Linked DNA regions of Drosophila melanogaster. The protein of the gene in region 1 interacts with the protein of each later gene in a pairwise test. Each region holds a gene or a part of one and is shown on either strand. Other genes may lie near its edges.

Region 1 (7,808 bases):
GGTTGGTTCTTTAGCAGCTCCAGTTTCTGCTTCAGGTCTTCCAGCTGCTGCTCAAAGCTCTCTTTAAGCTGCAGCTGCCCGAGATAATCCAAATGCTCCTCTAGCGAAGCAATCTTCTTCAGCTTCCAGGCGCAGAAGGCCTGCCGCATGATCACCTTGTGCCGCAGCCTTTCCGGGTATCCGCACTCCAGCGCATTGGAGCAGTCGTCATAGGCTTCTCTGTAGTACCCGTACTCCTGCAAAGCTATTCCTCGGTTGGCAAACGCCAGCGACAGCTCTTCCACAGCATTCTCAGCCTCGAAAACGGCTTCCGAGTAAAGCCTGCATGCTTTCAGAACCGAGTCCTTGGAGGATCCCGATGCGGACTCTTTGAACATAAGGTTTCCCTCCTCGCGCAGATTTTTCGAACGTTCTGCGCATCCTTTCCTGTCAACCGGTTGCTCCAAATCCTGCAGCAAGTCGAGCGCCAGCTTCTGGAATATCTGCAGAATGTCCGCTGGCATGGATGCCAATGACTTGAAGGTTTCGAACTCATCCTTGTAGTTCTCATTCAGGGTTATCAGTTCGTTCTGCTGGGAGAAAGTTCTTGCCAAACGTTCCATGTCCACCGGCTGCAAAAATTGTTTACAAAAATCAAATCATGCGGTTGGTGAATTTTAGGTGCTTTTCGAGTAGCCGCTAATTAAAGAATCGATTATTTTTCAAAATTTAAGTTCTATTTCCCTAGTTAGTTCTATTCCTTATGGAATTATTTCACATTCTATTGAAATCAAGGGATATTATAAAGTCGTCGAAAACTTTTAACTTATTAAAATTAAATGTTTTATGATCACGGGTTATATCAAAATCTGGATTATCTTTCGGCCACTCGACACATAACAAACCCAAGCCAAGAAAAAGAATTAACTATTCATAAGTGGAATAATTTCTGATTCTCCTAAAAAGAAAAGTTGTCCAGATTAGCTAATTATCGATTTGCCGGCGACTATCGCACCTCTCCCACCACCAGGCGAAAACGTAAACAAAGTCTGGCAGAGAACGCACACTCATGCAGAATTGCGGGATTCCGTGACAGATTTAATCAAATTTACGGATTTCATCAGTGGAAATAACTTCGTTAGCCCTCTACTACCTTTTTAACAGCCAAAAGTCACTATGAAAGACGCAAAGGTGAGTTTCCCAGCTGATCGGAGTGGCGCCTGCAGTTACATCATGTCGTTTGGACTTCGATTGCTGTGTCTCTGTATTTTCCTGCTGAAAAACGTGAAAACTGATCAAATTGGAAATGAGTTTCAGCCCTTTCCCGTGCTCAAGAATGATAACCTGCTGCGCGCCGCACGTGGCGAGGTGGTGGACCGGGTGCCTGTTTGGGTGATGCGCCAAGCGGGGCGCTACCTGCCGGAGTTCCAGGAGCTGCGAAAGCACCACGACTTCTTCACCGTCTGCCGCACCCCGGAGCTAGCGTGCGAAGTGACCATGCAGCCATTGCGCCGCTTCGACCTGGACGCCTCCATAATATTTTCGGACATCCTTGTCATTCCGCAAGCACTCGGCCTCACCGTGGAGATGCACGCGGGCGTTGGTCCCGTTCTGCCACAGCCCATCGTGGTGCCGGAGGACCTCAAGCGCCTGACGCCGGACGGAGCCTTGTCCCGCCTCAGCTACGTGGGCGACGCAATCACCATGATGCGGCACAAGCTCGAAGGTCGAGTGCCGCTAATCGGCTTTACAGGAGCGCCGTGGACACTAATGGGATATATGATCGAGGGCGGTGGGAGCAAGACCATGTCGAAAGCTAAAGCTTGGCTCAACGAACATCCTGAGGACTCTAAGCTGTTCCTGAACCTGCTGACCGACGCAATTGTGGACTACCTGGAGATGCAGGTGAAAGCTGGCGCTCAAATGCTGCAGGTATTCGAATCGTCCGCCGAGCATCTCTCCAAGGAGCAGTTCCTGCAGTGGTGTGTACCCTACCTGAAGAGAATACGCGACGAGCTGGTGGACCGTCTCACAAAGAAGGCCATCCCCGTGGTTCCCATGGTAAGTTCCCATGGACTAAAACATTGATAAGATGCTTACTAAATGGAATTTCCATGTAGACGCTGTTCGCTAAGGGTGCTGGGCACTCGCTGAAGGAGCAGAGCGAACTGGGCTACGACGTTATTGGCTTGGATTGGACTGTGGATCCGCTGGAGGCACGCAATTTGGTCGGACCGAACATTACGTTGCAAGGCAACTTGGATCCTCAGGACATGTACCGCGATCCTGATGAGCTGCGCAACCTGACCACAGAAATGGTGCACAAGTTCGGCAAGTCGCGCTACATCGCCAATCTGGGACATGGAATCACGCCTCAGACTCCGATCACGAGCATGGAAGTGCTGGTGGAGGCGGTGCACAAGGCTCTGTAAGGTGTGCCTTTCACTAACCTTTAATTTTATGATGCTTTTATCGAATGCAATAAAGACAATTGGCCTTGGGTTTAGGGTAACCTCAGTGGAATGTTATATTTAGCTGGTGCTGGGCCTGTTCCTGCAAAATCTTATCGTATATCATCAGGATACTGCCACAGCAGACGAGCAGGGTGCCCAGAATGACTTCTGCGGGAGCAGTTGGTAAACAAAGTGGACAAGGTTGTTACTTAGACATTTAGCTTACTTCTTCCCGGCAGTTTTTCCCCCAGCGCATATCCGGTGATTGCCGTAAATGCGAAGCTCAGGGAATTGGCCACTGGCACCGCCACTGTAATACTGGCCCTCTGGAGCGTCCAAACGTACAGAGCACTCCCGCACTGGTTGAGACCGAAGGGTATCCAATAGCGCCACCGGGAGCCGATTGTGCGTGCCTCCTGGACAAAGTTACGCCACTTTGAGCCCGTATCACCAACCGACTCGATTCCCTGGCTGCCGAGGCGAATAAACGGATTGGTAACGCCCCACAAGAGGCCCACGGCAAGGAGTTGTGCTGGAAATGAGTTTTGAATGCCAAGCTCGATAATATTTTGGCTCACTTACTTACCAGCGATATCCAGCATTCTATTTTGTTTACATCCGATCAGCTGTTTCGTTGTACTTCATCAACTTGGAAACTACATTTTGGAGCAACAATTTGGGGCATTCCATTAATAGCCACACAACAATGCAATAATAATTTTACTATGAATAATAATAATAATAATAAAAAACTATGAATCGAAATATGTGCAACCATTTTATTAAGATTTTTATTAATTTTCATTCGAAAACATTAAACTTAATCTCCAATACTGGATTTAAATTTAGCACTGTTTAGTAAATTTTAATTAAAATAGTTTTTATAAAGTATTTGGTTTCTTTCTTTTAAAGTACATTTGAAAAACTAATTTGATTTTTTGTTTAGAGTTAAGTTTTTATTTTTTATTATTATTCAAACAAACCATGGATTTAGAAATTCAATTTGTAATTCCCCTAATATTGCGCTTTGCGGAATACCCTAAATTTACTTTTTCAGGCATAACGATATTCACGATGCCGGTCGCACAATGCAGCCACACTGTTTTCTGCTCACCTCTAGCATCTCTTCTTCTATCCTTTTCTTTTCGCTGCGTTTCCGGAAGAGGTTCGTAATTTGCGATTTTGTATATTAATCGGAAAACATCGCATATTTCCACGAAGTAAATGCAACAAAACTGTGTGGACAATGTTCCCAGTCGAAAAACCGATCACGGCGTATGTTCATTTTCGCTGTGCAACAATTTCTTTGCAAATGGAATATTCCACTGAAGTTTTGTTTATGTTGTGTGGCATTAACTAAAATTTGTTGTTACGCACTTGCAGGATATTGAGTAGCACCGTTTCGGGCTAAACAGCACAATGACCAAGACCAAGGGTGAGAAAATCAACAAATCCGCGATCAACGAAGTCGTGACGCGCGAGTGCACCATTCACTTGGCCAAGCGTGTCCACAACATCGGCTTCAAGAAGCGCGCACCCCGCGCCATCAAGGAGATCCGCAAGTTCGCCGAGCGGGAGATGGGCACCACCGATGTGAGGATCGACACCCGTCTGAACAAGCACATCTGGTCCAAGGGTATCAGGTGCGTAGTCCTTAATTTCCTCCGATTTAGCATCCTTTCTAATCCGCCGCTAATCCATCCACCCTTCCAGGTCCACTCCATTCCGCATTCGCGTGCGCCTGGCGCGTCGCCGCAACGACGATGAGGACTCCCCCAACAAGCTGTACACTTACGTGACCTATGTGCCGGTGTCCACGTTCAAGAACTTGCAGACCGAGAATGTCGAGTCCAGCGACGACTAAGCAACGTAATTGACGGCCAAGAAAACACGGTTAATAAAAAGTAATTTTTATTTAGAAAAAACAAACAAAACAAGTGACTTAAAGTGTAGTAAACTGTGGCTGCAGCAAGTAGACCGACTCCTCCGTGGCCATGGACAGCAGTCGCAGCTTATGGCTGGGCAGATAGAGCACCTCCAGGGCATGAGCCTTTGGCAAGGCGCTGTCGCCGAGGATTTGCTGGAATCCCGCTGCTCCGCGGTGCTGGTAGATGCGAAGCGGTTGCTGCGGCAGTACGTTGGACACACAGAGCAGTAGATCGTCGGACTCGGGCAGGTGCATAAAGCGCATTACCCGCGACTGTTGGGAGTCCTCGAGCTCCAGGACTTGGTCCAGTTGGAAGCTGCTCGTGTCTGGGCTGCCGAAGCTGCAAAACGAGTGAAATCCTTGTAAATGCCCTATGCGTGAAGTGCTTATGAATATCTACCTGTAAATCCGAATCTCTGCTGCTGGCGATGAAGCCATCAGCGCCACATATCCGCTCTCTATGCCAGCACCTCCTTGACTAAGAGCCATTTGCTCCACCTGCCCATCTATCAGCCTGCTTGATAGAGAGTAATTGCCATTACTCCACTTCCAAAGCTCCACCGCTCTGGGAGTACGAAGTAGAATGGTCATATCATCTGAATCAGCGACCGGCAACAACTGTTTTACGGCCCGCCTGGGCAAGATTGCTTCCCTGCTGTTGTTCTGCTCATCTAGGCATCGGATTACTATCTGGTTCTCCTCTTGAAGTGCCCGGCACTGAAATCCATATGATCTGAATTGCAGTTTCTGCGGGTTCTGTGCCTCCTCATTGATTGGATTCAAGTTTGTCTTGTTTAGTTGTGTCAGTGCTGTGCCTACAAAAAGGAAAGCAGTGTTTTATAGATGTGTCCGTGGAATACTCTTCCTATAATTCCACTCCAAATATAGGCTATACGGATAGGACTTTATCGATATTAATAGGTGGTTTTTTGCCTATATCTTAATCTATGTTGAAACATTTTCAAGTTTTAAAATATTGCTTAAACCAATTTGAAAATGTGTACGACTCTTTTAGAGGGTATATCAAAACAACAGATAAGAAAGCAAAACAGTGAGGTTAGACTGCTAGCATTTAAAAGCAGAACTCGACCATTTTCCGGCAGAACAGGGACAGATTGTGATACACCAAGACTTCTCGTAGAGACCATTACGATTAACCATGAGAAGGCACTTGCGGGCAAGTCTTTGGATCCTTTGTTTGGCCACCATGGCGTTTTCCATCCTTGCGGCAGTAAATACTTCGCCCAAACCAACGCTGACTTCGGCGTTTAGGTGAGCAGCGCATACAGCGTATTCTTTGTTCGCTAAGATCCGCCCCTTTGCAGTGGAAAAGCTGGCACCACTGCCGTGAAGGCGAATAAGACGACGGGTGAGCTGCTGCCCATGGTCATTAACACTTGGAACTTCACGGCTGCCAATGTGCTCGCCTGGCGAATCCTGAAGCAAAGCAAGGGTGGACTCCGGCAGACGCGGAATGCGGTAGTGGAGGGCTGCTCGAAGTGTGAGAAACTCCAGTGTGACCGAACGGTGGGCTATGGCGGATCGCCGGACGAGTTGGGCGAAACCACACTGGATGCCATGGTCATGGACGGGGCCACCATGGATGTGGGGGCAGTGGCTGGTCTGCGACGCATTAAGGATGCCATTAAGGTAGCCCGGCATGTTCTGGAACACACGCAGCACACCATGCTGGTGGGTGATGCGGCGTCAGCTTTCGCCAATGCTATGGGATTCGAATCAGAGTCGCTGGTCACGCCGGAGTCGAAGGACATGTGGTTACAGTGGACGGCTGAGAACTGCCAGCCAAACTTCTGGAAGAACGTTCACCCGGATCCCAAGGTCTCTTGCGGCCCGTATAAGCCGCGGCCGACTCCGCTGACCCGCTGGAAGGAGGACCGTGCCCGCAATGAGTATGAGATCGGACGCAAGAACCACGATACCATCGGCATGATCGCCATCGACGTGGAAAGCAACATCCACGCCGGCACCTCCACCAACGGGGCGCGGCACAAGATTCCCGGACGGGTCGGCGACTCCCCCATTCCGGGTGCTGGCGCTTATGCAGACAACGAGGTGGGTGCAGCCGTGGCAACCGGAGATGGAGATGTGATGATGCGCTTCCTGCCCTCCCTGCTAGCGGTGGAGACCATGCGGGCGGGAAAACCTCCGGCTGAGGCAGCTCAAGAGGGCCTTCGCCGCATTCTCAAGCACCACAAGGATTTCATGGGTGCTCTCATCGCCGTAGATCGGCTGGGTAATTATGGCGCTGCCTGCTACGGCCTGGCCGAATTCCCCTTTATGGTTAGCAGTCCAGCCGGAGCGGATGGGCCTACGCGCTTGGAAACGGTCAAATGCATAGGTGGTCAGGACAAAGTAAATATCGTGGCGTTGTGAGGTGGCGAAAACTGTAACGTATTTCAATAAAATTTAAATTTCGTGGAGTTCTCATCTGCAATATAAATTGCGTTATTTGTTTGTCCCTATCGGCAGCAAGATAGACGGGTAGTTTTACCGTAAATTAGCGGTATTAAGAATTATCGATATGTAAGGATCCTTACATAAAATAAATAAATAAAGTATGAGAATAGAATAGAAAAAGACAAAACAAAAACCATTCCTTCGATAGTTATGACTACCAAAATGAATAACTTTTCCTTATGGAGAAACATTATAATTGTTATATAAGTAAAAATAATGCAAGTATTAATATTTATAGTGATAAATATAATATATAAAAATTTAATTTTCACTGCATCGAGAGCTGTGAACTGTGAACATCTATGTTGCCAAAATCTCCCTCATCCCTAAGTTACTGTACCAAAAGGCGGCATTTCTAGTATTTGCGTGTTGCACGGTCACATTTTCCGCCAATTTACCGACGCCAAATACAGAAGAAAAGAGAAGCGAACGGTGCGAAAGCGGAGAGAAAAACAAGCGGATCCTAGTTACATATACCAATTCGTGTGTCGCGTGTTATCAAAACAGCCTCCAAAATTATCAGGAACGCGCAACCAGCGGGCCGCAAGTCGCTGACTAAGATGGCAATCCAACTGGACAAGATTCTGCAGGACATCGCCAAAGAAAAGGTGCTGCATCCAAACAATGGCGGCGCCAGCAAGCAGGAGCAGGAGGAGGCGTGGGCCAGGATCGGGCGTCTCAACAAGCTCTCTGTGCACGAATCGCGCTCCATCTTCATAGTGCTCCAAAAGAAGTACGAGCAGGAAAAGCTAAAGGGCAATTCGGCGTGGAAGCTCTTCAGTCTGATGCATCAGATCCATCAGGAGCCTAAAATCTCAATCAAGGAGGAGAAGTAAGTGGCGTAAATAGTCCTCTAACCGTGAAACACTAACAAAATTTCTACTGCTATTCTGCAGTGATCAAGTACCCATGGAGGAGGTGGAGGAGTACGAAATGCTGGAGGTGCAGGAGCCTGAGGACGAGGATGACGC
Region 2 (5,975 bases), on another chromosome or scaffold:
GCACGAAAATATTTTTATGCCCCGAAGACTGGCGGCCGCCGGGTAACTTCCGGAAAAGTCGTCCAACTTGCCACTTGGCGTGTGTGGCGCACATTTCGCTCCTCGGGGAGTCGTTGCCCCAGCCAAATTCCAACTGCCAGTGGTGCCGCTTTCCCGGGATGCCCAGGAAATGAAGAATTGCCTCACAGCGAGGGGATTCACGGAAACTAAACTGATAAAAACCATTGCTCCACATAAGTTGACAATTTATTTCAGTTGGCGAGGGCAAACCAAGTAGATAACCATCATGATTTTAATATCTTTTGGTCTTGCAACAAAAATTAGCAAAGAAGATGGTTAAGCAAAAAAAAAAAGTCGAATTGGTATCACTATTGGACATAATAAAAGGAAAATAAATTGGAAAGTAGCCCGTCCCACGAGAAGTGGGAGTATCAGAAAGTGGAGGTATGTTTTCTGCAGCCCGGCGATTACCTTTGATTGGTCACTTAAGCAGCGTTTTCGTTCCTGGATTGTTTTTTATTGGCAAATGATTTATATAAAGTTATTGAGTAGATACAAGGTCAGTCCATAATACAACTCAAAATTTTTTTAGTAATTTAACTGAAAATTTCGCGCAACACTATTGAATCCGAATTGTATGGTCTGTATTGGAGGCTTGCACGCGAGTTGACTATTGATCATTTTCAAGCTTTTTAAAAAGAGCGGCAGCAGATTTAAAATTGACTCTTCTACCAGGGTTCTCCGTATTCAATGAATGCACTGCAATTCGAGCCACTGGTTGATCCGAATTAATAGGTGGCAAGGGATCCGATTGCATCGCTATCTTGGCCTCGAAAAATTGTTTTGCACCACTGACACCCACTTTGGACACGTCTACCGCTTTACTCCGGGCCAAGCGTAGCCGTTCCCGATCTAAAAGATGTCCCTTTCGTAATTCCAAGCGGTTCAAAACAGTTCCGTAAATAAGGAGCGCGTGGCAGAAGGTTAAACGTTCCAAGTGATTTCCCACCACATGAGTCATTACGTTTTTGGTTGCCAAATGGGTTTGTGGCATCTCCAGTTTTTCCAGGAATCTCTTCAGTTCGCCCAGACTTATGTACCCGTCCAGGTCTTCATCCATCTGCGTGAAACAGGAATAAGCCGTATCTATTTCTTTTTGATTAAACCAAGCCGAGAAGCGTTGGTGAACTTCATCCAGACTAAGTTCGTAATCACAGTCGCTGTCTTCGGAAGTGACAGTCAGTGGTATTTTCTCCATAACGATATCTACGGATATTGTATTATTCTCAATACTTTGATATATGGAATATTCTTGTAACTGATCCTGATCTTTATCCAGATCCCGATTGAGAAAAATATCGATTGGGGACACAATAACAATGCCACTATCCAAACTCAAGGTGGATGCGTGGCAAAGGATCGACTGTCGCATATATCCGTACGAGTTACAGGATGTAAAGGATGTACCAGAACTCAGCTCCTTCACCTCTTCGATCTCCTCATCAGATTCATTGAACTCTTTCGGTGTTGTGTAGCCTTCGTTATCTTCCGCTACCTCTAGAGCTTCCAAAGTCTTCCCCGCCTCTTCTGGATCCTCGAAATTGTTCTCGGATACCTCTTCAGTATTCAACGTCCTGTCTATTTCATCACAAACCATCAACTTTTCTGACTCGATTTTCGGATCATTTTCGACCGAACTCTGAATTTCGTTCGACGTTGCTGCTGGGATTTTGATTTGGTACCGGATGCTGACTTCCTCTGACATAGTTGCAATATATTTGGTTCTCAAATATAATCGAAGCACAAGAATTTTGTTTGACGCAAAGCTGTACAAAAATATAAAAGTACAATGAAAGATTTTTACGATTATTGAACCACTTTAAATTTGTCTAAAATGACAGTTAAATCAACAATGGTGGATAAATAAATATGTATTCTTTGATTTAGGCCATGTAAGAAAAACCACATCTATAATTTCCGAGTAAGTAAGTATTCATATTAGTAACCAGGACTGTTTGCTAAATTGATTGAATGGCTTTCATATTCCCCACTTACAAGGTCCAGCTTTTTACGGTCGTGGCTCCTGTGTTCCCAGTCCATTTCATATTAATGGCATAGGGCGAAAAGTCGGCACGTCTTTTCGGTGCGGACCCTGTTAGCATGCCATGGCCATAAACAGTTAATTAAGCTTTTATTGGTTACTCTTTTTGGTTGGCGCACAGACGACGGTCTGACTGTCTGACATTTCACGTTTTATTTGACAAACAAGCGGCCAAAAAGTGACGACCATAAACGTTGACCCAAGTCGCCTTGGTTGCGGCTATGCGGCTATATAGCTTCTGATCCACCTCCGACTTTCGCAGGAGCTATTTGCCGTGTCCTGGCCGCTTACTTTTTTTCTGCCTGGCTTATTTATTCACTCATATCGTGTGCAAAAATATTTGGTGATAACGAGCTGGCAGCCCACGGCTACTTGTCATGTTTAAACCACATTTATTTGCCGCTGCCTTTGTCCCGGCGACAATAAAAAAAAGTGTACGTATTACGTATATATAGAGGACTTTTTTGTTTTGCAGCTCTTGTATTTATTTGGTTTTTCTTTTTTTTTTACTGTACTACCCATACAAGAAGAACGAGCTGCGAGAAATGTCAGAAAAAAGTTGCTGGTTTCAGCATTTAATTTACATAGCAAAGTTTTCCTTATTTTGAGAATTCTGATTATAAAATTGCCGGCGAAATGGGAACTTGCAAAAGTGCCTGCAACTGGGTTAAGCCAAAACATCGACGGCCAGATAAAAAACCAAAAAACGAACAGTTTGTCCTGCGAAAAGGGTCCTTAAAAAGGGCAGGAAGACAGCTGGTTGCCAAAAGTTGTGTGACCTTTAATCGCTGCCCACAAACGGCAAAAAAAGGCGGGGAAATGGGGACAGGATTTAATTATATAAAACAAATACTACTAAAAAATATATTAATAAGGTAAAATAGTTGGCATATTTTTTAAGGGGGGCAAATACATTGTATCCCCTCTAGAGAGATTTCCGTTTGGGGAATGCTATGCACCTGAAAAGTCTGCTTTCGGGCAGAAGAAACTTTTAGTTTGGCCTAAAAGTGTCAAAACAACTGGCTCGGAAGCTGGTCCGCCCAAAGAAAGTGTAAGTTGTTGATTTCTTGAGCCAGTGCAAGCCAGCATTGGAAGTGGGAACACCCACAAGAGCAACTCTGCCATTTGGCCAATGGCCAAGAGTCACTTTTTGCCAGTGGGCTTCGACTTTTGGGGCAGTTCATGAAAAACTGCAAGTGAAAATAAAATGCAGGCTGGCGCATAAATTGCAGCCCAGCATGGCCAGTATAATATTTGTTGAAAACAAATAAAAACGGGCTGACTACCGGTCGATCATAATTAATGATTGGAACTGGCACATTTCTCTCCGCAGGACGAGCCATAATAAATCTCAATATAACTCAAGTGACTGTTACAGTCTAAACTTTGACATTTGATAGAAGGGTTAGACGTCCACCTTTTTTTTTTTTGGGCTTGTGCAGCAATCGTTTGTCAAAAAAGGTTCAGCTTAAAGCCAAAAGCACTTGGTCTTGGTCCAGCATTTGCTGCAAAAGTTTATACAAGTATAAGACAAACACAAATATATATATATTGGACTTACCCTCTTTTAAGTCTGGAAAGCCAAATTGATTGCTTGAAAAATTTCAGCCTCATTCCGGGCCATCTTTAGTCATTCGGATCCCTTGCCTTTTTTGCCCATTTATTTTTTTCCCCATTCGGGACTTCACTTAATTGAAACCTTAAATGTTTTTACATTGCGTTTGCCTACAGCGCGAAAGGAAGGCCCAGCACAAGCACACACAAATAGTGGATGTCCGTGGAGTAAAAAGTATCCTGCTTTTTATTTTTTGTGAACTCAGCTAAACACACATGCACAAAAGCACACCAAAGTCAATCAATCAAAGTGGGACTCACCACTTGCAGGACTTTGTTTTTTGTGGTATTTTTAAGAGATTTTAACAGCTGCAAGTGTCAGTTGTATGCTGACCTTAGGAAGGGTGTGTTTTTTTTTTATTAATTCCTTGTCCCTTTCACCAAAGATCATTGGCCTTTTTAAAGCAATTAAAGAGTTCCCTTAAAATTGGGAGTGTACACCCACTTTTTTTCTAGTATATTTGAATGGCCATTAAAGTCATAATTTCACATTAAATGCAGACGTGACTGCGGCAAAAGCCAGACTACCGAAATGTCCCAATGGGCGCCACATGAATCCAATTGAGGCGACCATGTCTTGAAGGCAGTTTTTTTTTTCTGCTCCTGCACCACTGTTTTCCCGGCAGGCAGGACAAACATTAATAAGTCAATTGATGTTTGGGTTAACCCACCGACGTGGCTAGGGGGTCGATGTTAGCCAGGAGCGTCGGCCAGTTCGTCATTCGAGAGGCAGTGACTCCCTGGCGACGACATGCGTGTGCTCACATTTATCCCAACGGGAGCTGGGACTAATTGCAATTTATGTACGCAATAAAACATTCGCCAAACGGCTGCCATTCGTTACGGCCGATGGTTATAAATTTATGAATAAAACAAATTCGCCGATGGGGCCGAGGCTTTATTAATCAGTACACTGCCAGGACTCAGGACCCCCCCAGTGACCTGCAGTCGATTGGAGTCAATGCTCAAATAATCACCGCACACTCGAAAATGGGAGGAGCATGAATGGCTTGATTGGGTAAACCGGAGTTTGATTTAAAGCGCGGAATCAGGGCATAAAGAGCATTAAAAAATTTACTACTGCATTACACAAGGATCCGACGGCGAATACAAAATTTAACTGCCGCAGTCGTTACGCTCGAGGCATTAAAAGTAATCTGCTTAGCATTTTGCGGGAAATTATTCGACCAGCCAAAACAGGTGGCCAAAGGATTCGCAGGCGAAATGGTTTCAATGACGCACTGGTAATGCTCTATAGAGCCCTGTAAAGGGTATTTTCGTTTAACAAACAACTCTGTTAACTGCTGTGAAAGCCTAATATTTATTATTTTAAATAACTTTATTTATTGTCCACCTGTTATTAGAATTTATTGAAAGCCAAGGTACCAAATTTAAAAGTCGGCTTAAGCAGCAGCCACTGCCAAGTCCTACAGATGGGCATTTCAGAGGAGGGAAAAGATCCGGGCTTCTTCTCCATTTGAAGTGATTGCCGTGCACAATTCGCGCTAAAAGCTTTCACTTGCCAATTGCCGATGAAAACAAATGTGCCGCAGTCCGCAGTCCGTAGTCTCCTCTTTTTCTGTCTTCACCTATTGCCTACTCAACCGTTTCGATTGGCAGATGATTCTGTTTTTGCTGTTGTTTTGTCCAACAGAAACCAAAGTTGGTCAGCCGCTTCAAGCTGTAGAGACGTGAAGTGGTAAGAGAGCGAATGGTGAATACCCTTAATAAATATTGTAAATATTTAAACTACAAATTAAATAATTTGTATTATTCAGTAGAAGCTGTTAATATGGAATATTAAAGGACTTCAGGCTTATAAAAATTTAAAAATAGCGTAAACGAGCAATGTAATGCATTTAAGCTAATGCAGCTGAAATAATAATGTTGACAAATATAATTTTTAATTTCTTCTTAGAATTGGTCACCTTATGGGTCGACCAAGCCAATTTCGAAATTCAGTAGACCCATGAGTAAGTAACTTGGAAAACAAAGCACTCAGAACTGCTCAATGGGGTTTTGCTATCAGGACTGAGCTAATTGAAAACTACTTTCCAGTCTAGTATGTATAGTGTGTGTATACACTTACCCACACACTCACATCGGTCAAGACGGATAGAGAGCTGCAGTCAGTGCTGTCAGTAGCCAGGAAATATACAGCCTTAAAAATGTAATATTTTCTGTACTATTTAAATTTTGATGAATCTTTTATTACCACAAATAATTGTATCCCAAGAGACGGCATGAGGTAGAATTTTTG

What was found. The genes of interacting proteins can lie anywhere in the genome.
Region 2: the proteins of RpL31 (region 1) and CG14861 interact in a two-hybrid assay, tested with the Drosophila melanogaster proteins (one large-scale study listed by BioGRID).

What each region holds. Positions count from the first base shown.
Region 1 is NT_033778.4:9,583,632-9,591,439, forward strand, and holds RpL31 (ribosomal protein L31), read left to right. Parts: upstream 1-3,561; 5' UTR 3,562-3,597; intron 3,598-3,603; exon of another isoform or gene 3,604-3,707; intron 3,708-3,815; 5' UTR 3,816-3,851; coding exon 3,852-4,075; intron 4,076-4,145; coding exon 4,146-4,296; 3' UTR 4,297-4,358; downstream 4,359-7,808. Other genes in the region: Smyd4-1 (SET and MYND domain containing, class 4, member 1), read right to left, coding at 1-602; Urod (uroporphyrinogen decarboxylase), read left to right, coding at 1,156-1,170, 1,297-2,040, 2,100-2,411; CG12929 (uncharacterized protein), read right to left, coding at 2,494-2,600, 2,659-2,964, 3,019-3,034; clos (closca), read right to left, coding at 4,375-4,699, 4,760-5,174; CG1827 (uncharacterized protein), read left to right, coding at 5,519-5,631, 5,685-6,753; Map60 (Microtubule-associated protein 60), read left to right, coding at 7,398-7,669, 7,734-7,808.
Region 2 is NT_033777.3:15,010,560-15,016,534, reverse strand, and holds CG14861 (uncharacterized protein), read right to left. Parts: upstream 1,766-5,975; coding exon 671-1,765; 3' UTR 501-670; downstream 1-500.